Nothobranchius furzeri: one gene and its partners. The protein of the gene in region 2 interacts with the protein of the main gene of each other region in a biochemical or structural test. Links are inferred from orthologs where the notes say so. Each region holds a gene or a part of one and is shown on either strand. Other genes may lie near its edges.

What was found.
Region 1: the proteins of nfkb1 (region 2) and map3k8 form a complex in vitro, tested with the Homo sapiens proteins (2 studies listed by BioGRID and IntAct, with this or other methods). The link is inferred for Nothobranchius furzeri from reciprocal best matches to the Homo sapiens genes NFKB1 and MAP3K8.
Region 3: the proteins of nfkb1 (region 2) and bcl3 form a complex in vitro, tested with the Homo sapiens proteins (2 studies listed by BioGRID). The link is inferred for Nothobranchius furzeri from reciprocal best matches to the Homo sapiens genes NFKB1 and BCL3.
Region 4: of the proteins of nfkb1 (region 2) and ikbkb, one has a biochemical effect on the other in vitro, tested with the Homo sapiens proteins (4 studies listed by BioGRID and IntAct). The link is inferred for Nothobranchius furzeri from reciprocal best matches to the Homo sapiens genes NFKB1 and IKBKB.

What each region holds. Positions count from the first base shown.
Region 1 is NC_091747.1:30,275,317-30,280,897, forward strand, and holds part of map3k8 (mitogen-activated protein kinase kinase kinase 8), read right to left. Parts: intron 3,779-5,581; coding exon 3,517-3,778; intron 2,901-3,516; coding exon 2,794-2,900; intron 1-2,793.
Region 2 is NC_091741.1:65,342,244-65,348,476, forward strand, and holds the start of nfkb1 (nuclear factor NF-kappa-B p105 subunit), read right to left. Parts: upstream 4,220-6,233; 5' UTR 3,954-4,219; intron 3,946-3,953; exon of another isoform or gene 3,803-3,945; intron 2,352-3,802; 5' UTR 2,347-2,351; coding exon 2,308-2,346; intron 1-2,307.
Region 3 is NC_091745.1:75,995,862-76,001,883, reverse strand, and holds the start of bcl3 (B-cell lymphoma 3 protein homolog), read right to left. Parts: upstream 4,171-6,022; 5' UTR 3,838-4,170; coding exon 3,351-3,837; intron 2,906-3,350; coding exon 2,782-2,905; intron 1-2,781. UniProt on the Homo sapiens protein: Contributes to the regulation of transcriptional activation of NF-kappa-B target genes. In the cytoplasm, inhibits the nuclear translocation of the NF-kappa-B p50 subunit.
Region 4 is NC_091757.1:55,646,652-55,652,232, forward strand, and holds part of ikbkb (inhibitor of nuclear factor kappa-B kinase subunit beta), read right to left. Parts: coding exon 5,526-5,581; intron 5,435-5,525; coding exon 5,320-5,434; intron 3,129-5,319; coding exon 3,005-3,128; intron 2,922-3,004; coding exon 2,770-2,921; intron 2,687-2,769; coding exon 2,625-2,686; intron 2,520-2,624; coding exon 2,419-2,519; intron 2,323-2,418; coding exon 2,273-2,322; intron 2,169-2,272; coding exon 2,069-2,168; intron 453-2,068; coding exon 305-452; intron 220-304; coding exon 122-219; coding exon of another isoform or gene 118-121; exon of another isoform or gene 84-117; intron 1-83.

The DNA of each region.
Region 1 (5,581 bases), on a different chromosome or scaffold from region 2:
CTGACTAGTGTCAGAGTCTTTACAGCAATCCTCATACTAAGCAAGCATTTAGCGCCAGTGGAGAGGAAAACTCCCTTTTAACAGGAAGAAACCTCCAGAGGATCCTGGTTCAGTATAAGCAGCCACCCGCCATGACTCACTGAGCTGTGGTGGCCTCATGGAGGGGGCGGCCATCGGCTGGCACACTTGACTGAAATCAGGTGTGTTCAAACACAGGGTTAAAACTAAAACCTGCTGGATACTGGCCCTCCAGGCCCGGATTTGAATACCCTGATATGAGGGAAAATAGCAGGGGACCTAAGATGGATCCCTGAGGGACTCCTCATCTTACAGGAGAGGCAGAGGACAAGAAATGACTTAAATTAACTGACATGCTTCGACCTGACAGATAAGATTTGAACCACTCCAGATCAGTACCTCTGATTCCAACCCACTGGTCAACTTGGAAATTGCGATATTATGATCGATGGTGTCAAATGCAGCAGATAGAACCAGGAGCATAAGGATGACAAAAAATTGGTAGCCATTAAAATGTCATTATAGACCTTTAATAGTGCTGTTCCTGTACTATGATGGGTTTTAAAACCAGATTAAAATACTTTGTGTACACCAAGCCTGTCCAAAATTGCAGGAGGAAGGTTTCTTCAGCAGAAAATTTACTGTAACATGTGTCAGCTGTGTTGGAACAACACCCGACTCCAGGCTGCTGTTTGCTATGAGGAAAACTCTTGTGGCAACAGATGTTGATACCCTCTTCAAAAAACCCAGCAGGAAGTACATCAGTGTGGTAGTGTGGCATTTTCAGTTTACTCACAATTTTGTCAAGTTGACCTATAGTAACTGGCTCAGAAAGGCAAGACTAGCGGGAGGCAGAAGTGTGAAGTGAAAGTAGTTCTACATTTTGTGGAAGTTGGTCAAATTCTGAGCATCAAACACAAGACAAACAGGAAGTGTTGTCAAAGGGGCTTTCTGCACCAAACGAGCTAATCTTTAGAGCCAATATGTGAGAGCAGGTCAGCCGGTGGCCCTTGAGGCTGAGCAGTAAACATTTCTTTGGAACTCACTTTAGCTTCTCTCAGCTGGAAATTCCACTTTGATCTTCCACATTATTTCTTCTCTCGGCAGCTCAGAGTTTTCTCAGGCTCCACCTCTTTTTCTATACAAACGTGTCTCCTCTGGGACTTTCCACCAGCAGCCCAACGTGCACACACACACACATGCACTTGCATGTGCGTACACTTGGAAAACAACAAGGACAACAGGTGGTAGAAGAGAAACATCAACACTCTGGTGGATTAATCTTCCTCTTTCTCACAGACTGAAGCGGAGAACGGTTGCTCTGCTGCAACAGCTCTGGTCTCAAATCATTTATACTGCTGACTAGATCAGTGGTGGCTCATCCATAGGGGGCGATAGGGTGCCACCCCACCAGTCTCAGAGGAAGAAGAAGAACATAGGAATAAAAAAATATAAATGCATATTAAAAAACAAACCATGAAAATAAACTAAAATAAAAAATGTTATTTACACTTAACACTATCGAATTGTGTTGTGACGTATTTCCTGTTACTTTTGGGCGCAGCAATCACTACCACAGTCACATGCTAACTGGTGCATGTGCGCTGGACCCCCCCTCCAATACAAAGAATAGGAGAGCCTTTGGGCGCAGGTTTACAGCGCCTGTGACGACACACGCAAAAGACCGGCAGCGCAGTACAAGCTCAGGTCAGGACAAAACCAGAAATTCTATACAGTTCACCATCCTGTGCTGTTGTTGAGCAGCTGAGTACACTTCGTGGAGTTTTTTTATTATGAAGAACCAGAAAATGATGGAATGTGGTATCAGAGACTTTTGAACACTCTCCTGCATGTGTAAAGGTGGAATATTTTTACGATAACATGGATTATTACAACCTTAAACCAGCAAATGTAAGACTGAGTTCATGCTTTTAACTCCATGAAATTAGCTTTGTTTGTTTTTTATGCTAAATTTGCTAATACTGGTGAATATTAAGCATGTTTTTGGAACAGTTTTGCTTTCACTGGTCTGTTGGTGTGACGCAAAAGAATGGTGACTTAGCATTACCTGGTGGTGATACGCAGATAGCGCATCAGAGTCCTCACAACTGCAAATTTCAGACTTAATTATGAGAATTATGAGCAATGAGGCTATTTTTATTACATTCATAACATGAACACTTTTCTAATCCGTGTTTCTCCCGAAAACCTTTTGTTTTTGACTAGAAAAATTATGAAATAATGATTAAATATTTACAATTTTGACATGTTTTATTTAAACACATTAGAGACTTATGTTTAGTGAGTTTTTTTTCTTTTTCTTTTCTGCCTGCTTGAATTTTGCTGTTGGTTTAAAAAAAACAAGAATGTGATTTGAAATAACGCATTTTTAAAAGATTATTTTTTTTCTAATAAACTATCACTTTTTTAATTTATCTGCCCATAAACCATCATTTTGTAAGGAAGAAAATGGATAAGAAAGATGTTAATAGTGCATATTTATTTAATAAACCTCATTATTCATATGCACCTTCCCACAACAGGCCATGCAAATGTGGGCTGGCATGCTGTTTTCAGCACAGCACTTGTTAAATTTTGCCCCATCCAAAAAGACTTTCACCAGCCGCCACTTAAGACTATTTTGAAAAAAAAAACAAAAAAACTCAAAGGAAGTGCAGAAACAAGACTACTGACTGCTGTTGAACACACGAACACATGCACGTGAACAAACCCTCAACACCATCAAGAAGTGAAACCGTGACTGGGGTTTCTCACCTCTGTTCCTCTGAGGTCTCTAGGAATGTAGATGTCCTCTGTCATCTGAACCGTCAGGCCGAAGTCCACCAGCACCGCCTTGTCTGACATCAGGACGATGTTACTGGCTGAGAGTAAAGAGAACACTCAGACGTAGAGACGAGCAGACGTTTGACAGTACTTAGGGCCTTTACTTGGCTCTGCAGACAGCTTTGTTCAGTTCGTTTGCACGTGTCGAGTTGAACTGGAGGTGATGTCAGGTACGTCACATGATGCATCAGGAAGTTAAACGATAAGCTGTGTGTGTGTGTGTGTGTGTGTGTGTGTGTGTGTGGTGTGTGTGTGTGTGTGTGTGTGTGTGTGTGTGTGTGTGTGTGTGTGTGTGTGTGTGTGTGTGTGTGTGTGTGTGTGTGTGTGTGTGTGTGTGTGTGTGTGTGTGTGTGTGTGTGTGTGTGCTATCAAAGCCAGTTGGAATTTCCAGACAACCAGGCCTCAGTGCTCAGAAGCAGACAGGCCCGTGAGAGGAATCTCATGTTGTTGTTTACAGAACGGTTTTTGTGTGTGACCGAAACAAACATGCCAACTTTTCCTCCCGTAACACACCCTGTATGATGGATTTATGTATTTCCCGCTAGCAAGAACTCAACTATGACTTGACTTTGAAGTCTAAGGACATTACATGCTGCTGGGCTGTTTGCACATCAACAGTTCAACAGGAGACATGTCTTCCCTCCCTTCTCTTACGTTTGATGTCGTGATGGATGACATTGTGGGAGTGCAGATACTCCAGGCCCCGCAGGACTTGCTTTGCCACCCAGATGATCTCAAACTCTCTCATGGGTCCGCAGCTGTCCACCTTCTCCAACACCGATCCCCCTTCACCTGCTTCCATGAACAGGTGGACGTTGTGGTCCCAGAACATGGCACCATAAAGCTCTGCAATGTTCTCGTGGCGGAAGCGGGCCTGGAACTCCACGTCGGCTGCTTTAAAGTTTTCTATTGGAATCTGTCAGGAGGAGATTTAGGAGATAATGAGCCCATAAAGCAAGGTGACCTACACGCTGCACTTTAAATTCTATAAATAAATGTAGTTTTTTAATCCAAATCTATTTGTGGACTATTGTTAACATACCAACTGTTTAGTAATCAGTTTTATTTTATTAACGTTAAAGTCCCATTAGTCGTCATCCACGGGTGGAACTTGTTCTATGCATTTAACCAATCCCCTGGGGGCGCTCAGGAACCACACGGTGGTTTAATTATTACCCAATTCCATGGACATAAAACAGTAATACAGGATAAAACGGGCCTTTGCTAACGTAGCTCATCCACCAGCAGGCAGCAGATATGCTTAGGACTGACATGGCAGGTTTCTGATAAACTATCCTGATGCTTTAAGGCCACGAGTGGTTTGATGTGTATTTGTGATGATTTGAAACCAAAGTCACATGATCACAAATACTTTGTTCTAAACAGCGTTTCCTGAGTAGGCGCCTCAGGCCAGCTCATCAGATCTGATGCGCTGTTGGAAGTCCTTTAGGTAGCTAACAAGCTTTTGATTTACCCTTTAGTCACACAGACCTGCAATGCCTTCACATTCAACTTTGCAAAAACGAACTTTAAAAGGATTTTGCAATATTGACAATTTCTAGCTAGGAAACTTCCCTGTTTGATCTTCCACGAAGTACGCACATGCACACACACACACACACACACACACACACACACACACACACACACGCACACATTGTTGAAAAAAATAAGTGATTTGTGAATACATGTACAGAAATCTAAAGAGCAGCTGCAGGAAGGTTTTATTTCTGTTCTTGCGTGAGAGGAACACGTCCTTTTAAGGGCACTCGGTCCTGTTCCTCTAGTGAATGTGACTCACAGCATCCGCACAATCCTGGAAGTAGCTGTGTCAATAAAAAGCTGCTTCTGGCGGCATAGAGAAATACACGATAGGGCTGCTCGATTATGGCAAAAATAATAATCACGATTATTGTGACTGAAATTGAGATCTCGATTATTTAGGACGATTTTTCAATTTATGTTGATTTTATTTGTTTTTATTCAGCCATAAAATTGCTCAGGGCACAATCAGGACAAAAATAAATAAGAAACAAGATGATCACTAAAATAACTCCTGATTCCCAGTATAAACAGACCAATATACTTATAGCTCATAGTCTATGACCCAAGGGCTATAGACCTTGGTTTAACTCATTTAAGTCTAACCAGTACAGACCCAAATACCAATATCCTGCAAATACTGACAGTAAGAATTATACAGTGGCATTTATAACAAATACATGCAAATAAATTGATGTTCACAAAATCTTGCATAACATTTACTGAGTCATCTCAAGGTGCTGTAGGAGAGTGCACTAGCACCGTGTCCTCAGAGAGATTAGTTATTAGTTATCAGCGTGAGGAACTTGTTTCTACCTTATTTATAAACTATTTATTTACAATCCATCAGTTAATGTAATAATTGTCCCAACCACAGCTGCACCCCCCACCCCCCAACCCGGTCTCAGCCATCGGGGCAAGCTGCACGTGTGTTTAGCACGCCGTACACCAGGGGCGTGTCCAGGGAGTGGCCTGGGGTAGCACATGCCACCCTTGGAATCTGATTGGCCACCCCAGGAGCCACCACACTAATTTACTTTAAATGGGCTTTTCATTGTCCACAAAAGGCTTGGGGGTAAAACAAAAAAGCATAACCATTGGTGCCACCCATGCATAAAGTTGTGCCTCACCTGGGCCACCCCATTTTAAAAGATCTGGACACGCCACTGCCGCACGC
Region 2 (6,233 bases):
GCTCAGACATGTTCATCAGGACAAACCTATGTGAGCACCTGCTGTCATCTAATGTTGTCATTATTATGATGAAGATGAACAAAACAGCAGGAGTCTCCTCCTCAGCTCAGAGCTCCTCAACACCATGAAGCAGGTATCTGGCTGGAACATCACATCACAGTAAATCAGTGGAGAAAACTGAGCTTTAAATATGTTGGTTTTATGCTCTTTTTCTGGCTGCAGATAGATGAAAAGAATAGAAAATCCCTTTATCGTTCCTCAGTGGGGAAAGCTAGATGTCACAGCAGTGAGGACACTTATTACAGGAGAAAAAAAGGAGAATAAAAAAGAAAAATGAACAAACAAGAAAACATAAATCATGAATAGATTTTAAAAATGCTGAATATACCACAAGTAATGAATACCACTGATGTGTTTTATTTAAAATTTATTTGCTTGCGTTTTATTTAAAATTTACTTGCTTGTGTGTAGTTTGGTTATTCCACATTCAGTGTTAATGCAAAAATATGTTTGTTTCCAATTTTAAAGGTTTTAAATTGCATATATGTCAATAAAGAAAATGAAAATTTGCCATCACTTTTTCAAAAAATATTAAGCTTGGCCCGCGACTTCGTCCCAGATTTTCATTTCGGCCCAGTGTGAATTTGAGTTTAAAACCCCTGTTCTATAAGTTCCAAAAACCAGATATAAAAGTCGAGGTGATCCGGTCCTTCCAGACTGTTGCACCCCGACTTTGGAATGATCTTCCTTTATCCTTATCCCTCCCACTGTCCTAATGGGCATTGACAGTCTGGACACCTTTAAAAATCAGTTGAAGACACTTATTTAAAGCAGCTTATACCTAAACCTTTTATTTTCTTATTTTTAACTCAAATTTTTAATCTTTAATCATTTTATGAAACTTTATAATTTTATGACTATTTTTTCTGATGTTGATCTATTTGTTTTGAGATCATTATGATTTTAAGACGGTTTTATTTTGTTTTGATCTATATGAAGCACTTTGTGATTCTATGTCTGTGATAAGTGCTATATAAATAAAATTTACTTACAGACTCACACACACACATTTGTAATTTTAAATCTGCTGGATCTGCTAACGGTCAAGTTAATCTACAGTAAATAGTTTATATGAATCTGTTCTTCTGACATATATACATTAGCAACTGAAAAGATTGAATTCTAAATTTCATCTTCTGTTTTTGTTTAACCTCAATTTAACCAGAAAGAAAAACATTGAGATTAAAAATCTATTTCAAGGGAGACCTGGCCAAGAAAGGCAGCAGCAAGCAACAAGTAAAGTTACAAAAGAAATCACAAAGTTTCAACCGATGGAAGACGTTTAGCAGAAGCATTCATATATAAAATATCTCCATAACCCAGCACAATTAACGATGCTGCAGCAACAAGCTACTTCTTAGCATTAAAATAAAAAAACTGTTTTATTCACAGCTTTGTTTGTTCTGAGTCTCGCACAAACATCTGAAGGTTGGACTATGAAGCCAGATTTCCTTGCAGACTATGTTGAGATGAAAGTTGAAGTTTTCAGGATGAAGGTGGAGGATTTGTATCACAGAGAGTGTAGAGTGTAACAGAGAGTGAACCCAGTGGTTCCTAACCTGGGGGTCCCGACCCCCACAAGGGGGCGCCAAAGCCTCTCAGTGGGTCACCAGGACCTCTCCACTTTAAGGGGTTAAAACTTAATTTATTACTTGTTTATAGCCTACATTTTGCTCACATTTTTTTCATGAGTGAAAAGTTTACTGATATTAAGACAGGAAATAATTAGTACAGAAAAAGTAACACACTTTTAAGAACATTTTGCTCAGCTCACTGTTTTATTTTCAAGTGTCAAAAGTTCATTAAAGATACGACTGGTTGATTAATCACAGCCTTTACAGTAAATAATCTAGTACAAACAGTAATATACACATTTAAGTACATTTTGCTCAGTGTATTTTTTATGTGTCAAACGTTTATTGAAATGAATGATTGATTTATCAGTGTTTACAAGAAACAATGTGTTCAGAAAAGTAATACAAACTGTCAAGCACATTATGCTCTGTTTGGTTTTGTTAATGACTTTGTTCTGTACTGGAGCCTACTATTACTGTTATCTATTGAATCAAAGCATATTCAAATGTGCTTGAACAATTTGATCATTTCTTAATACTGTTTGTACTGGAAGAGAGAATGGGAGGGGGTCGTCAAAAATTTTACTGGTAAAAAAGGGCTCCCTTGGGAAAAAGGTTGGGAACCACTGCCCTAGATCATCATGGTAATGGAATGAGCTGCAGGTGAGTTTACCTGGTTGGATGGATGAAGGAAGGGGTCGTCTCCTGCCATTGTGTCTGCAAAAGTAAAAAACAATATCAAGTCAACAGTTTTATAATATACATGGACCACAAACCAGCCTTCTTTACTAAAACATAACAAAGATGGCACTTCTGCAAATAGTTCATTAACAACATCTTTTTATAAGTTGTTTTTTTTTTTACTTTAAAAGCCCAACAAAAACCTGAGTTTGCAAATCCATCAACTGTCACATTGCTTTAATGTATTGTCTTTGTTCAAATAAATATAAACTAAAGTGCAGCGCATGTTCAAGTTGAACCATGTAAAAGCTGCCAAACTTCCTGCTACTTCGTTAAACATCACAGCAAGCTAAAGAGCTGCAAAACTCATGTTCATTATTTTATCATTAATGGTGATCAACTATTAGGCAAATGTTATCTAAATGTAATGAACTACTGAGCAAAACCTGGAACAGGAAGCAGAATCAGCTACTATAAATCATTTAAACGCCAACGATCCTAAAGGTCTTTTTTTTCCACCAGTTGCTTAAATGATGAGCAGAAACATTTCATTACTGATTACAGTTACAGGCGAATGCATTTAAAATATGTGTAAAGTCATTTATTTAGAAACTGTGATGTAAAGCATTATTTTATCGCACGATTTATTTTTTTTTTATTTTTTTAATGTCTCAAAGGTAAACTGAAAATTGTTGTCTTAACAATTTCCGATTTGATAAAACGGTGTTTGTAATAGTTCGCACATTGAAAACATATGCGTTAATCTGTGTCTAAAAGAAAACACGTATTTTCCAGCACTGTTTTGGCAGTTTATTCTTTCTTTCTGATGCTCGTTAATGCCGCGCGCGCTCCGCGGCTCTTGTGAACGCGCGTGTCAGTTAGCTTCCTAGCTAACAGCTTATCACCGCCACCGGACTCCTGTTGTTTAAGCTTATAGAGTCCGGTAAAAACCAAGCCGTTACAACCAGCCAGCGGCTCCGCTGCGGTGACAGTAGTGGAGCTCTTGGCTGACAGAGTTGCTGCGTGTCCTTCGGTCCTGTCGGTGCAGCTAAGCTATCAGTCCCCGCTGCCCCACCGGAACGAGCCCTGTAGGTTTGGTTCCTTATGCGGAGAATGTTATGCCAAGGTCCATTTGAAAATCTAACGTGTCAGAAACACTTCAAATTCATGTTAGGAATACATTTTACATTGTTATTTTTATAACCAAACCAATTGGCTAATCATGCCCTAAAAATCGGCAAGTTTAACAATTTCATAATTTCTCATTTTCAACCTCTATTAAGCATTTTGTTGTACGTTACCACAAATAAGAGCGGGCAAAGTTCAGTTCAAAATACAAACAGATTGAAGCAAACATACAATTTGTGCAATGAACAGGCCGAATTTGTCGTGGGGTGACAAAGAATGTGTTCTGAAAAACACTTAATCTATTTTAGGGGATCGTGAGTTATAAAAGTAATCCCTTCACGACACCTCGTCAAAGTTACCTGGCTGATGAGGAAGTAAGTAGCATAACAAAGCAGTCCGTCAGAGCCGTAGAACACCGTAACGGTCTAGGGAGAAGTTCGGACCTCGAGTCCGACTAAACGGGCCAGAGTCCGGGTTTACGCGGTTCGTGTGTCGGTAGCAGGCTTTTACCTGGTTTACTCGATCAGGTGGAAGTCGGTAGCATGAAGTGTGACCATGAGTGTGACTCGTCCCGCTTCACTCCAGTTGACTCGTTATTTGTTCGCCATGCCGAACCCGCGGACCCACTTACAGCCTCGCTTCAGCCAGACAACATTTTAAGGGTCTGGAGCCACGGCCAGTTTTTAATCCACGCAGATTAGGCCCAAATGAAATCCAACAGGTGACAAGTTTGTCAGAATAAAGTGACTTGATTTCCTTCCCTACTGGAAATTCCCTGTGACGTAGAGCTCCAGCAGAGAGGTGAGAAAAGAAGATGGCTCACCCTGACGACAAAAACGGGTCGTCACACAAAGTCCACTTTATGACGTTTTAGCTTCGCTATTTGTGTCACCATTTCATAAAAGCCAAACCAAACATCTAGAAGCAACGAGTAATGTGTCACCCATGGTGCTAAAGTTGTTTTGATCTACTATTTTCTTATATTGATTCATTTTATTGATGTTTGCAGACATTCAGCTCTCTGCCTGTGGTTTTTTTAGTCCGGACTTTAACCGGACCCTGGCTCTTTTCTTTCTGCTTTTATAATAGTATCGCGTGGACATCGGGTCAGTTTCACTGCATTGGCAGTAAAAGGGGGAACGCAGGGTGTGTTCCAACCATGGATGTAGTTTTGACTTTAGAAGTGTGTGTGTGTGTGTGTGTGGGGGGGGGGGGGGGGCGGGGTCAACCAGGTATCCTTACAGTTAAGTATACAAAAATATGTAAAGAACTACAGCCTAGAGGCTCTTTTATGCAATGTCAGAAATGCTGAACTGTTGAGTACACAGGTGGCAGGAACGGCCAATCACATGTTAGCAAGTATCAGCATAGCCAATAGATGAGCGTATGGACATTCTAATGGGAAACAGGCTTCAACACAAGCGGTTGTTTTCCACTTCATGCTAGTGCTCAACCAGAGTCCATTTATAGCGTAATATTGTATTTGGACAGTTAAAAGTGCAGGGGACCATGTCCCCCACCAAAACTACATCCATGGTTCCAACTACAGGGGTATCAGACTTCTGAGCCTCCCTGGTAAGGTCTATTCAGGGGTTCTGGTGAGGAGGATCCATCGTATTGTCAACAGTGTTGGGAACGTTACATTAAAAAAGTAATTAGTTATAGTTACTGATTAGTTTGTCAAAAACGTAACTCAGTTACTAACTGAGTTACAAGATTGTGAAAGTAACTAATTACCAAGAAAAATAACTACTTAGTTACTTTTTTCATTAAAGCATGCAAGAATTACTACACTAGTGAAATATAAATGACTAATGACTGGAACATAATAAAATGTATGTCCAAATGTTTTTTATAAACCTGAATAATTTAAATAAATAAGCACTTAACAGGAGGAAATACTAACAGGAACATTACACTTATCTAGACTATTAAAAGGTCACTGTGTGATATTTAACAAGACCCCAATCAGCTAAAATTTAAAATTGCAAATAGAAACACCTGTAAAGGTTCCTGAGCCTTTAAATGGTTTCTCAGTCTAGTTAAATTACAGAAATGAATGCAATTTTGCACAGCATTTTAATTTTTCCAGCTTCACATCTATTAATGGTTAAATAAATAAATAAAATCCTTTAAAATGACACTAGAACAGGCACAAGCCTGATGGAGGACTTACATTTACTAACTTGGGTCAGACCCAACCACAGAAGAGCTGAAGCTGGGTGGTAAACACACACAGGTAGTTCTAATAACACTTGAGCTCCATGACGTGTGAGACTGATGCATCAGTGTTACAGCGGGACTAAAGACATGATCAGAAACAGGTTACAGCTGGATGATCTAGGAAGGTAGAAGATTAGGAGGCATGGACGTAATTTTGGGGGGGGACAAGGGGGACATGCCCCCCCCCCCCTTTTTCCAAAGTTAAGTTTTGACCCCTGCACTTTTTACCATCCAAAAACAATATTACGCTATGTTAAATTGACACTGGTTGAGCTCTAGGACCAAGCAGAAAACAACCGTTTGTGTTGAAGCCTGTTTCCCATTAGAGCATACTGTAAAGATACACCCCGTCCCCCCCACTTATAAATTGAAAATTACGTCCATGTCAGGAGGTCTGATCGGTGAACAGGTGAGCGGACCTTCGGGACGTCCCTCTGTCACGCTAGGGCACGGCTGCACACCCGCAGATTCGTTGCAGATTCACTGCTGCAGCAACAAATCTGTCAGGGGTCTGCAGCCGTAGATATTCATCACGACTTCCTCGTTCTTCACGGGCCGTGATGCGCT
Region 3 (6,022 bases), on a different chromosome or scaffold from region 2:
TGCCTGCAAGGTGGATAATGAATGCTTTAGAAAGATGCATTGTGGTAAAGAGCTAACATGTGAAGCATGCATTGGAAGTATGAAATCTACCAAGGTGAAAACTAAACTCACGTTTGCAACAACAAAATATTTTTATCGGACTATTGTTTGCTAGGTTTCTTTACTGGAGATGTCAGCAACTGCATGGCATCAAGAGGCTTATATATATATATATATATATATATATATATATATATATATATATATATATATATATATATAAACTGGAGATGTCAGCAACTGCATGGCATCAAGAGGCTTATATATATATATATATATATATATATATATATATATATATATATATATATAAACTGGAGATGTCAGCAACTGCATGGCATCAAGAGGCTTTTTAAATGTTGCTCATTATGAGTTTCTTTTGTGTGGATGTAAATGAAGCCGACTCCTTTTGAAACTGCCTCATCAAGGTCTTGTTTAGTTCTTGGACTTGCTCTGTCTTCAGTCACCTGACTGCGTGGGTATTCACGTGTGCCCTTGTGTCAGTTTGTCATCACAGCAACTGTGTGGGAAGATGCAAAATGCTGATTTCAAGGTCGAGTTAGCCATGTGTTAAAGTTTAGTATTTGCATTCACGTGGTCTCAAGACGGTCTGCATGGTGACCTCTGTGTGTAGTTAGCATGTACCCCCCCATGCACGTGACTTTCTCCAGAGTCTCCCACAGACCAAAGCATCGACACAAGACTCAAAATTCTCCCTACGTGTGAAAATGTTTGCATGTCTCTGTGTGTCCTGTAGGTTCCCTCACAGGAAGTGAGACTGCAGTGGAGATTTTTAAAGGAGTGGGAGAGGGATACTGGTCAGAGCCAGGTGAGTCACCGAGATAAAAATAAATAAACTGGAAAGAAATGCCAAACATTTTACTCTCCGATTGCACAACATCAAATATTTTGTTGATGATGTTGGAAGGCTCTGTGTTGAGACTACAGAGCTCCGGGAGTTGACGTCACTTCTGCCGGCATGCAACAGTTCAAATCGAAACGGCGCCATCTTGGCAGGCAGAAGCCCGCAGCTGGGCTATTTGTTATTGTCAGAAAACTCAATCAAACGGGAAATATGGTAGATTCCTGTTGTGCCCCAGGATGCCGGAGCAGACGCGGACGAGATAAGGGAAGAGCCTTCTACAGGACTCCCCAAGATCCAGAACGCTGCAAACGTTGGATCATAGCAACGAAACGCGCTAGCCTCCAGGCTAAGATGAAGCTGTGGGATCCCGAGAGTAAAGGTTTTCACTTAAGCAGCGACCACTTCACATCAGGTAGTTAAACCAACGTTTCCTCAACTGTGTTTGGTATTTATTTTAAATGCTTTTATTACGATTCTTAGTGGGCTTCCTAAACTTATTTTGGCGTGGCTTTTTCTGTCTTATTACTCATAGCAGCAAGTAAACATCACGTAAAACGTTGCCTTGTGATTTCTGCGTGCTGCCGTTTACGTGTTTTATGATCACAGCAATTAACCGGCTAAGCTGTATTTAATTTTTAAGCAACGGTTGATCAATTGTCAGATCACACATAAAAAGCACTTTGGATTGCTATTATCTGTCTCACCGAGACGGATTTCAGACAGATCCTGAGACGCTCCTGCCTGACATTTTTATTTTATTCACAGAAAAAGACGTGATTTCTCTTGGCGTTCAGTTTATACATTCAAACAGCACAGCACTCTATTTAAACTTGTCACATGTAAATCTTTGTTTTTTTGTGTTTTTAGCGATGCTCCGGAGTAGGACGAGGAAAAAAGTATAAAAAGTGAAATACTACCATATTATTTTATGATTTTATGAATATTATTAGTATTATTGGTGCATTAATATTACCTAAGACAAAATATTACCTAAGGCAAATATAGCCACAAATCAATAAAAACATTCAAACAACAACTTGGTTTTCATAATTTTCTTTCTTGGGATGACATGATGCAGCTGTTTGGTGTGACTTTTGTCCTCAAGCTCTTTCATGGAAAACTATGATGGGATGAGCAATCTGCTAAAGAATTTGGGTACTTTCAGCAAAATGATTACGCCCAGGACCAGCAAAGGTGTAAAAAGATGCTAAACCATGCGTGGGTTCTTGCTTATGCAACTTGTGCCGCAGTTTGCTGGAGCAGCATGGCTTACATGTGCTAAAATGGTCTGCCTGCAGTCCAGACCTGGTACTAAATAAAGGAAGTTGGCTATAAGCCTGAGAAAAATAACAAAAGGAACAAAGTCTTGGACTGAAAAACACCTCAAATGGAAAATATCAAGGTTTCAACACTACAGCAACGGATCAGTTTAGTTCCTAAAATGTTACAGATTTTTATTAAAGGATTTTTTGTGCGATTTCCACACAGTTTCGTCAATTGAGATGATTTTCCACATATTTGTGATGAATTATAGTTTAAACAACTTATAAATACATTTTTGTAATAATAGAAGTTTCCACTACAGTGGGTATGAGTATTTGCATTTGGGTCAGGTGTTGAGCTCAACCATATTTGTGACTTTTGGCCAAGATCTACGATTCTTCTCAGTCTGCTAGAAATAGTAGGACTGTGCATTAAAGTGATGAAAGCTCTGATCTGTTTCCTTCTTCAGTTTCTTAAATTCTTGACTGATGAAGGTGAATCGTGGCATTGTGTAGTTTTCTGCAAGCATCAGTGACTTAAATCTGGATGGATATTAGCAGTAACACCTCTCGTGTAAACGTGACAGCAGATCTTTTCTGAATGAATCAACATACGTGTCTCCATCTTCATCCTGATGCGTAGCCAGAGAAATCTCAGCCAGCAGGTTTTCAGGTTGAAGGGCTGGTGGATGATGTGGCTCTGGGACCACGTGGGGCATGTAGTACACCGGATAGTGACCTGAGCAGGAAAAACAAGTCAGAATAAGAAAGCCAGGAGGCAGAGAAAAGAGTAAACAAGTACTTTTAAAGCAAAGTGCTGCAGTGTGTAACATTGACCCAGAAATATGCTACTGGGTGAGCATGAAAGGCTGCAGATAAGCTGACTGGATGTTCTCTGAGTTTAAGCTGCTGTGTGGTGCCACTGATTCTCCAACCACATGAGATGTGACCCACAAGCCAGTAAAATCACAGAGATGGATGCTGATAATGCTGAAGATCGAAAACAGAAACCTGATAACCAAGATCATTTCCAGGGATTTTAGTTTAATCTGATCTTTTAAGGGGGAATATTCTCAGTTCTTTTACTTTAAAATAATACAATTGTAACGAAAAATGTTTAAAGTAAGAGCAATTTTGTACTAAATCACCTTTTTTCATGATTATGAACAAAAATAAGTTCTTACCATAATCATAAATAGGGAAAAGGCAGTAGGGGTATCCATCTGGACCCTGTCCATCCTCCTCCACCCTCCTGATGATGGTCATCGGTGCGACTCCAACCCTGCGCTCATGATCCCCCCCGGCTCTCCCCAGACGAACAAGGGAACCCAAGTCTCGCTCCTCCACCGGAGAGGAGCGGATTCCGCTCGCTGCTGGAGTCGGTGACGGCGTCTGGCTCTCAGGTTCGAAGGGAAAGGGTCGTTTCCTGAAGGGAAGCTTTAAGGAAGACGCGCTGCCCGCTGGCCGTTTGCGAGGCGCACGGGTTTCTGTGCTGTCGGTCCCGGTGCTCGCTGGAAGTGCAGGGGAGCCGCCGCTCGGAGCGTCCCGGGAGCAAATGTTACTGTCCGGAGTCCCAGACCTCCCACGCCCTCGCGCAGTGGTGCTCAAATCCAGCGGCGCAGTGGCGACCGACTGGTGGTCATCAACATTCATGGTACTGATCCTCGGCATCAACTGGAGACGTTTCAGGTGACAACCAGCCCACGTTCAGATGGAATAATCAGGCTAATCCAAGAGGACAGATTGTGCGTAAATCCTAAAATACAATAAAAGTGTTGTCAAGTCAAACCATTCTGTTTGTGCCTCTGGTGTTATTTAGGTAATACGCTATCAAAATAACAGGTTCATGCAAATCTGTAACACTGATAATAATGATAAAAAAAACTATCCAGAAAAAAACTTGTGCGTATCCCTGCGCACCTACATGACCGTGGCGCAGTGGAGCTGCGCCAGTGCTCATCTGCTGATCATGAGCGCCTGTTTGACACCTCACCAGCGGCTCTACTTTCGTTTTAAACCGAAACAGTCTGATCGAAGCGTTTAATTAGACCAAGTAAAGCAGGAAAGGAGTTCAAGAGTGCTCTGAATTCGTGTTTATTTTATTTGGATTATTATTATTATTTTTTATTTTATTTTATTTTTTTGCATTTCTGACTTTTCTGATAGATCCTGCTCTGTTTGCATTAAAGTTCAAAGCACCTAACGTTGAATTTCTCAAGAAGTCAAGGCAGGTAGATCGGCAGTTCAGAGCAGAATGGTGAGAAAAACAAGAAAACAGCTGGAGCTCCACATCTAAAATGTAGTTTCCTCAGTTGAAAGTGAGTTAAAGCTGTAAAAAAAATTCAAACAGACTGCAGACACATATAAACAAAACAATCCCATGGATGTATAATTCTGTATTTATACCAGTCTGGAGCTGCCATTTCAGGTACTGAAAACTAACTTCCTTTTAGAAATTTTGCATGAATCCTTGCGCTGCTATTGAAATCTGCCAATTTGTATGTTTTCCTTCATGTTTCTGATCTGGAATGTTGATCCCTCTACTTCCACTTCTAATCTAAAGAGAACTCTCTTTTGTGAAGACAACCATTTCCTATCTTTGTTTATTCATCTGCAAACAACATGGACTGTTTTTGTTAACATTGGACTTCCATATTCACAGTGCAGGGTTTTGCGGTATCAAACTCAGCTGAGAGAGAATAACAGCCCCTATGACTCATCAGTCTGTACTTTTGATGCCCTTCTTGTGACTGTGCCTGCCAGTGTTTCTACATGATGGCGAGGCCACAGTCCTGCAAATGCACTTCCCCCTCATCTATAATCTTATCTCGCTCCACCCTCATCAAGGTTCTGATTACCTGGGTCAATTTGGGACTTTCCTCTTTGCACTGAAGTGTGGAATGGGCAACGGAAACTCAAGCTTGGTGTTTAAAGTCCCTAAAACACCCTGGCGCTGCACAAACAAGCCCTGCAGCTGTCAAGGCACTCAACCATCATGGTCCTGTCGGGAAAATAATGATCAAAATTACACATTCACTATAATGTTTGTTATAGTTTAGCACCATTTTTGTATATTGGCAATGAGTCAGTGACCTTTATACACACACACGCACGCACACACACACACACACACACACACACACACACACACACACACACACACACACACACACACACACACACACACACACACACACACACACACACACTGTGTCAACGGAAAACTTTACACCTTTTTACGATCTTGGGGGTCAGCATTATAAGATACCAATATGTGAAATAATGTGAAATTAAATAAAATTCGCCTCTCTTGTGCAGGAACAGCTGAGTTCAGCGCAACTGTCAAATAGAAGTTTGATTAAATATGAGTTTTAAAATGTACTTTACATTAATAATCCCGCCGTGCAGCTCTGAGAGGATTACGTTCAACAGTTGGTGTCTTCCCTGCATGCGGGACTCTTTGCTCAATAGAAGAAAATAATTTTCAAGTGGAGGTGCAAGCCTGAAGTCATCTGCAGAAGACAGTTCATATAAAGATCAATGACACGATGAGAACAGATGTTTTGTGTGAGCTTGTGTTGCCCTCTTGTGGATGCATCAAAACAAGTTTGTTGATCTAATTGTTACATAAAATTTGCTTTATCATTTATTCATGTTGTAGATAAAACGCGTACATTGTTAGGAATGTTAAACCTTTTGTCTTAATTTTATTAAATCCTCATTTGAAACAAAAATCTAATAAAAGGTTTTATAAAACACATTTTCCTTCATGTAATTGTCTTTTTATTTAGCATTATTTATCACTAAAATATTTTCTTGCTTCCCTGCTTAAAAATTAAGTAATGTTTGCTTGCAA
Region 4 (5,581 bases), on a different chromosome or scaffold from region 2:
AGAGATCCTGTGACTCTGTGCTTAAAGAAAACTAGACAGCATTAGTGTGAGAGGTGGGGGGAGAGGATTACTCTGAAACTAACTTGAAATATTTGCGTGATGTGTGTTTGAGTCAGCTCACAGCTGCTGTAGGCTGTGCCCGGTGGTCAACAGGGGCGGGACCGATGAGGAGGTTCGAAGTCCATCAGGACTGCCGCTCACTGGGCTCCGAACTTTGCTCTAGAAAAGACAAAATTATTCAACACACTTATCTGTTTCACAGGCGTTCTGTCTGAAGATGGAGCACTTTTTTGCTTTTCCTCACACAGGCGACTTTGAGCAGGTTCCACAACTCTTTCTGCCGCCTCTCCTGCAAACTCATCAGGACTTGTTCGTTCTCCACCATCTCCTGGACCACGCCCTCCACCTTCGGCAGCAGCTCCATCACACGGCGACGGCACACGGCTGTCTTACTGCAGAAGACACACACACACACACACACACACACACACACACACACACACACACACACACACACACACACACACATAATAATTATGATGTGACCAAGCTCTGAATAGGAAAATCTGCTGCAGATCAGCTGAAAAATATAACAGGATTGGATGGCCTTAAAATGGCAGCAAGAAAAGAAAAGAAAAGAGAAAATAAAGAAAAAAGAAGAGAAAAGAGAAGAAAAAAGAAAAGAAAAGAAAGAAAAGAAAAATGAAAAGACAGAAACGAAAAGAGAAAAGAAAGAAAGTAAAGAAAAGAAAAAAGAAAAGAAGGAAACTGTCACCTTATCGTGGTGGAGGGGTTTGAGTGCCCTAATGATCCTAGGAGCCATGTTGTCTGGGGCACTTAGTGCCCCTGGTAGGGTCTCCCAGGACAAATGGGTCTCAGGTGAAGGGTGAGACAAAGAACGGTTCAGAGGATCTTTCATGGAAGTAAATTCAAAGAGTCTGAGTACCCGTCCCGGAGGGTTACCGGGGTCCCACCCTGGAGCCAGGCCTGGGGTTGGGGCCCGTGAGCGAGCGCCTGGTGGCCGGGCTTTCGCCCATGGGGCCCGGCCGGGCCCAGCCCGAACCGGATACATGGGCTCATCCAACTGTGGACCCAACACCCGCAGGAGGAACATGAAGGGTCCGGTGCAATGTGGATCGGGTGGCAGACCAAGGCGGGAGCCTTGGCGGTCTGATCCCCGGACAAGAAACCTGGTTTTTGGGACATGGAACGTCACCTCGCTGGCGGGGAAGGAGCAGGAGCTTGTGGCAGAGGGTGAGCGGTACCGGCTAGATATAGTCGGACTCACCTCGACACATAGCATTGGCTCTGGAACCCGAGACCTGGAGAGGGGTTGGACACTCTACTTTGCTGGAGTTGCTCCGGGTGAGAGGCGGAGGGCTGGGGCTGGCTTTTTGTTAGCCCCAAGACTCTCTGCCTGTGTGTTGGGGTTTACCCCGGGGGATGAGAGGGTAGCTTCCCTGCGCCTTCGGGTCGGGGAACAGGTTCTGACTGTTGTTTGTGCTTATGGGCCAAATATCAGTTCAGAGTACCCACCCTTTTTGGAGTTCCCGGGACGAGACATCCATAAGGGTCTAAATAGTCCTTTATAGTCTTAGTATCATCTTCTCTATCTCCTTCCTCGATTATGTCTTCTCTTTATTGCAATTTCTTTCTCTTACAAGTGGAATTAATTAATGAGCAGCTGCAACATGTGAGTTCAGCGCGAGTGCAACACAAAAAACGGTCAGGCGGAACCAAAAACCAGAACAATTGTTCCCTCTGTAGTTCACCGCTAGATGGGGTCAAACAGTCAAATAAAAAAACAACTAATAAAAATTAAATGTGAAAGGCTGTTACACTCTTTAAGGAACGCTTCACATTCAAAACTTATTTTAAAAAGTTCAAAACCTTTCAAATGACTGCAACACAAAAAATTATCAACTTTTTACCTCCTTTAGCATTTTCGCCTCTGTAAGCTGGAAAAAATCAAAAGTGTAACTAATCAGGAACGCTTCTCTGCTGCTCTAAGCTGAAAAGGATCAGAGAACTGATTTGCATAAAACCTGGCATGCTCGTGAGGGAGTACCTGAGGTGTGTGTAGAAATCTTTCAGCTTCCTCTCGTAGAACTGCACGGCCTGTAATACCAGACGCACCAACTCCTGGCTGTCTCCAGGACATCTCTGTTCTGAGGAAGGAAAACCAAAATGATGTCAGATGAGGTTTGTTCTCACATGCAAGGCACCACGATGAGCCCCCCCCCCCCCCCCCCCCCCCAAAAAAAGTCCAAACCTCTGGGTTTCTCTCTGAGATTGCGGAACAGCTCCATGGCTTTGCCTTCACTGTGGATCAAAAGGAGGAAATGTGACCTCAAACGGCAGTTACTTCTTTAACTTCTATTTCTATACATCTATATCTATATTATGATGTAGACTTACAGTGTCTCCAAGGTCTCTCCACTCCTCCATGGCTGCCTCTGCACATCAACGATGTCTGGCTGCAGCTTCATCATCTCCTCCTCCAGTTCCACCACTTTGGCCTTCACACACGCACGCACGCACACACGCACACGCACACACATCCAAGTCTTTTAAAGGGAACTCTTTACAAACACACACACACACTCAATACACTCAAAACCTACCTTACTACAACTGATGGCAGTTTGCTCCATTTCCCTCCAAACACCCAGAAGTTTCTCTGATGCTTCAAACATAAAAAACATTAGTCAGAGGCACAGAATTCGTACTAAATTTGTCTTTTAAGTCACAAATATTTCGGTTGTGCACCTATCCCCGTGGATGTCTGCTCCTGATATTTGTCCATGTCGACGTGAAGGCTGGTGCTGAAGAACTCCTGCTTGGCCGTGAGTCTCTGGTACATGGACACCATCTCATTCTTCTGCTTGGACAGTGACGAGTTGTGTCTCAGCAGGCTCATGCTGAAAGAAGCAGGAGGTGTTTCTGTTTTCTTATTTTTGTCAAACAAGTGCACGTGTGTACTAATGTAGTGTCTAGGTCATACAGGGCAGCTTTCTGGCCCTGCTGCAGCCTTTGCCAGTCTTCCTTTAGAGAGCGGATGGTGTGCCATGCCTGACCGCATGTCCTCCTCAGATTGCTGTATGGGAGGAGATGCTTCGGGTCGGTTTCTATGAGAAAAAGAGAGAAAAACACGGTATTGGTGTATGTTTATAACTAAAAATAACACAGAATCGGAGCTGCTTGGTTATTAAGAAATCATTATCAAAACTATTTTGTTCAATATCAACACAACCTTTGAGTAGGGAAAGGAATGATTTATTCTTCTAACCCTAACCCAGACAACACCCTCCTGAGGCTCACTGGTAAGGTCTATTCAGATGTTGTGGAGCGGAGGGTCCGTCGGATTGTTGAACCTCAGATCCAGGAGGAAAAATGTGGTTTTCGTCCTGGCCGTGGACCACTGGACCAGCTCTATACCCTTAGGGGGATCCTGGAGGGTGCGTGGGAATTTGCCCAACCAGTCTACATGTGTTTCGTGGATTTGGAGAAGGCGTTTGACCGCGTCCCTCGGGGGGCCCTGTGGGGGGTACTCCGGGAGTATGGGGTACCAGGCCCTCTGATACGGGCTGTTAGGTCCCTGTATGACCGGTGTCAGAGCTTGGTCTGCATTGCCGGCAGTAAGTTGGGCTCGTTCCCAGTGAGAGTTGGACTCCGCCAAGGCTGCCCTTTGTCACCGATTCTGTTCATAACCTTTATGGACAGGATTTCTAGGTGCAGCCAAGGTGTGGAGATCCGTTTTGGTGGCCTGAGGATCAGGTCTCTGCTTTTTGCAGATGATGTGGTCCTGTTGGCTTCATCAGAACGTGATCTTCAGCTTTCGCTGGAGCGGTTCGCAGCAGAGTGTGAAGCAGCTGGGATGAGAATCAGCTCCTCTAAATCTGAGACCATGGTCTTGATTCGGAAAAGGGTCGAATTCCTTCTCCGGGTCAGGGATGAGGTCCTGCCCGGGGTCTTGTTCACGAGTGAGGGAAAACTGGAGCGTGATATCGATAGGCGGATTGGTGGCCTAACCCTAACCAGTCTACATGTGTTTTGTGGATTTGGAGAAGGCGTTTGACCGCGTCCCTCGGGGGGCCCTGTGGGGGACACTCCGGGAGTATGGGGTACCAGGCCCTCTGATACGGGCTGTTAGGTCCCTGTATGACCGGTGTCACAGCTTGGTCAGCATTGCCGGCAGTAAGCCGGGCTCGTTTCCAGTGAGAGTTGGACTCCGCCAAGGCTGCCCTTTGTCACTGATTCTGTTCATGACCTTTATGGACAGGATTTCCAGGCGCAGTCGAGGTGTTGTTTGCAGATGATGTGGTCCTGTTGGCTTCATCAGAATGTGATCTTGAGTTGGAAAAGGGTCAAATGCCTTCTCCAGGCGAGGGACGAGGTCCTGCCTCAAGTGGAGGAGTATCTTGGGGTCTTGTTAACGAGTGAGGGAAAAATGGAGCGCAAGATCAGTAAGCGGATTGGTGCAGTGATGCGGGAGTAGTAGTGGTCAATCTCTGTTCCTACCCACACCTACGGTCACTAGCTTTGGGTTCTGACAGAACGAGATCGCAGATGCAAGCAGCCAAAACGAGTTTTCTCTGCAGGGTGGCTGGGCTCTTAGAGATAGGGTGGGAAGCTCGGTCATTCAGGAGGCGATCGGAGTAAATCCACTGCTCCTTCACTCCGAGAGGAGCCAGTTGAGGTGGCTCAGGCATCTAGTTAGGATGCCTCCTGGACGCCTCCTTGGGGAGGTTTTTCGGGCTCGTCCAACCGGAAGGAGACCTAAAGGAAGACCCAGGACACACTGGAAGGACCATGTCTCTCGGCTGGCCAGGGAACACCTCAAGATTTACCCGGAGGAGCTGACCCATTGGTTGTTGGATAATGCCAACATGGGTCACAATAACTAATCAAGTGCTCTGGGTGTGTCTCACGTTGACACGCTTCACCTCAACATGAAGCCTTTTTGTCTGAATCTTCATCCATTTTCAGCCGCTTACCTGGGGTCGGGTCGCGGGGGTGGCAGCCTAAACTGTCCATGTTTGTTAATAAAACCGAGAAAAGCTGCTGCGGAAGCGTCTTTAAAGAAAGGATGGTCATTGCTACTCTTTCAGAGAAAGATCTAGCACGAACGCCTTTTAACAGTGTTAAAATAAGTCTCCTAGCTGTCAGTTCATTTGTTATATTTAATTATGACACCTGTCAGTTTGGAGTTCTCAGCCTCTACACTCATTTTTTTCATTTATGCTAGCTGACACGAAAATAAATGAAATAAAATTTACTGAGCACGGCTTTTCCTGACATCACAGGCTTCGTACTTACGGACAAAGCGGATATTTTCAGGAAGAGTCCGGGGAGCAAACTGGGGTTCGTATGAGCAGGAGGAGCAGTCGAACAGGAAGACCAGAGGTAAATCTGTACGACGTCCATCTATCTCCTGCAGACCGATGATACAAACGCTACAGCTCTCATTCGGAAGTGGAACGTGTGATCATGACAAACATGCTTTGCACGTCCGATATCCTTACTGTGTAATCGATGGCGCACTGCGTGGCCAGAGCCTGAGGCTCCAGCGCCAGCCCCG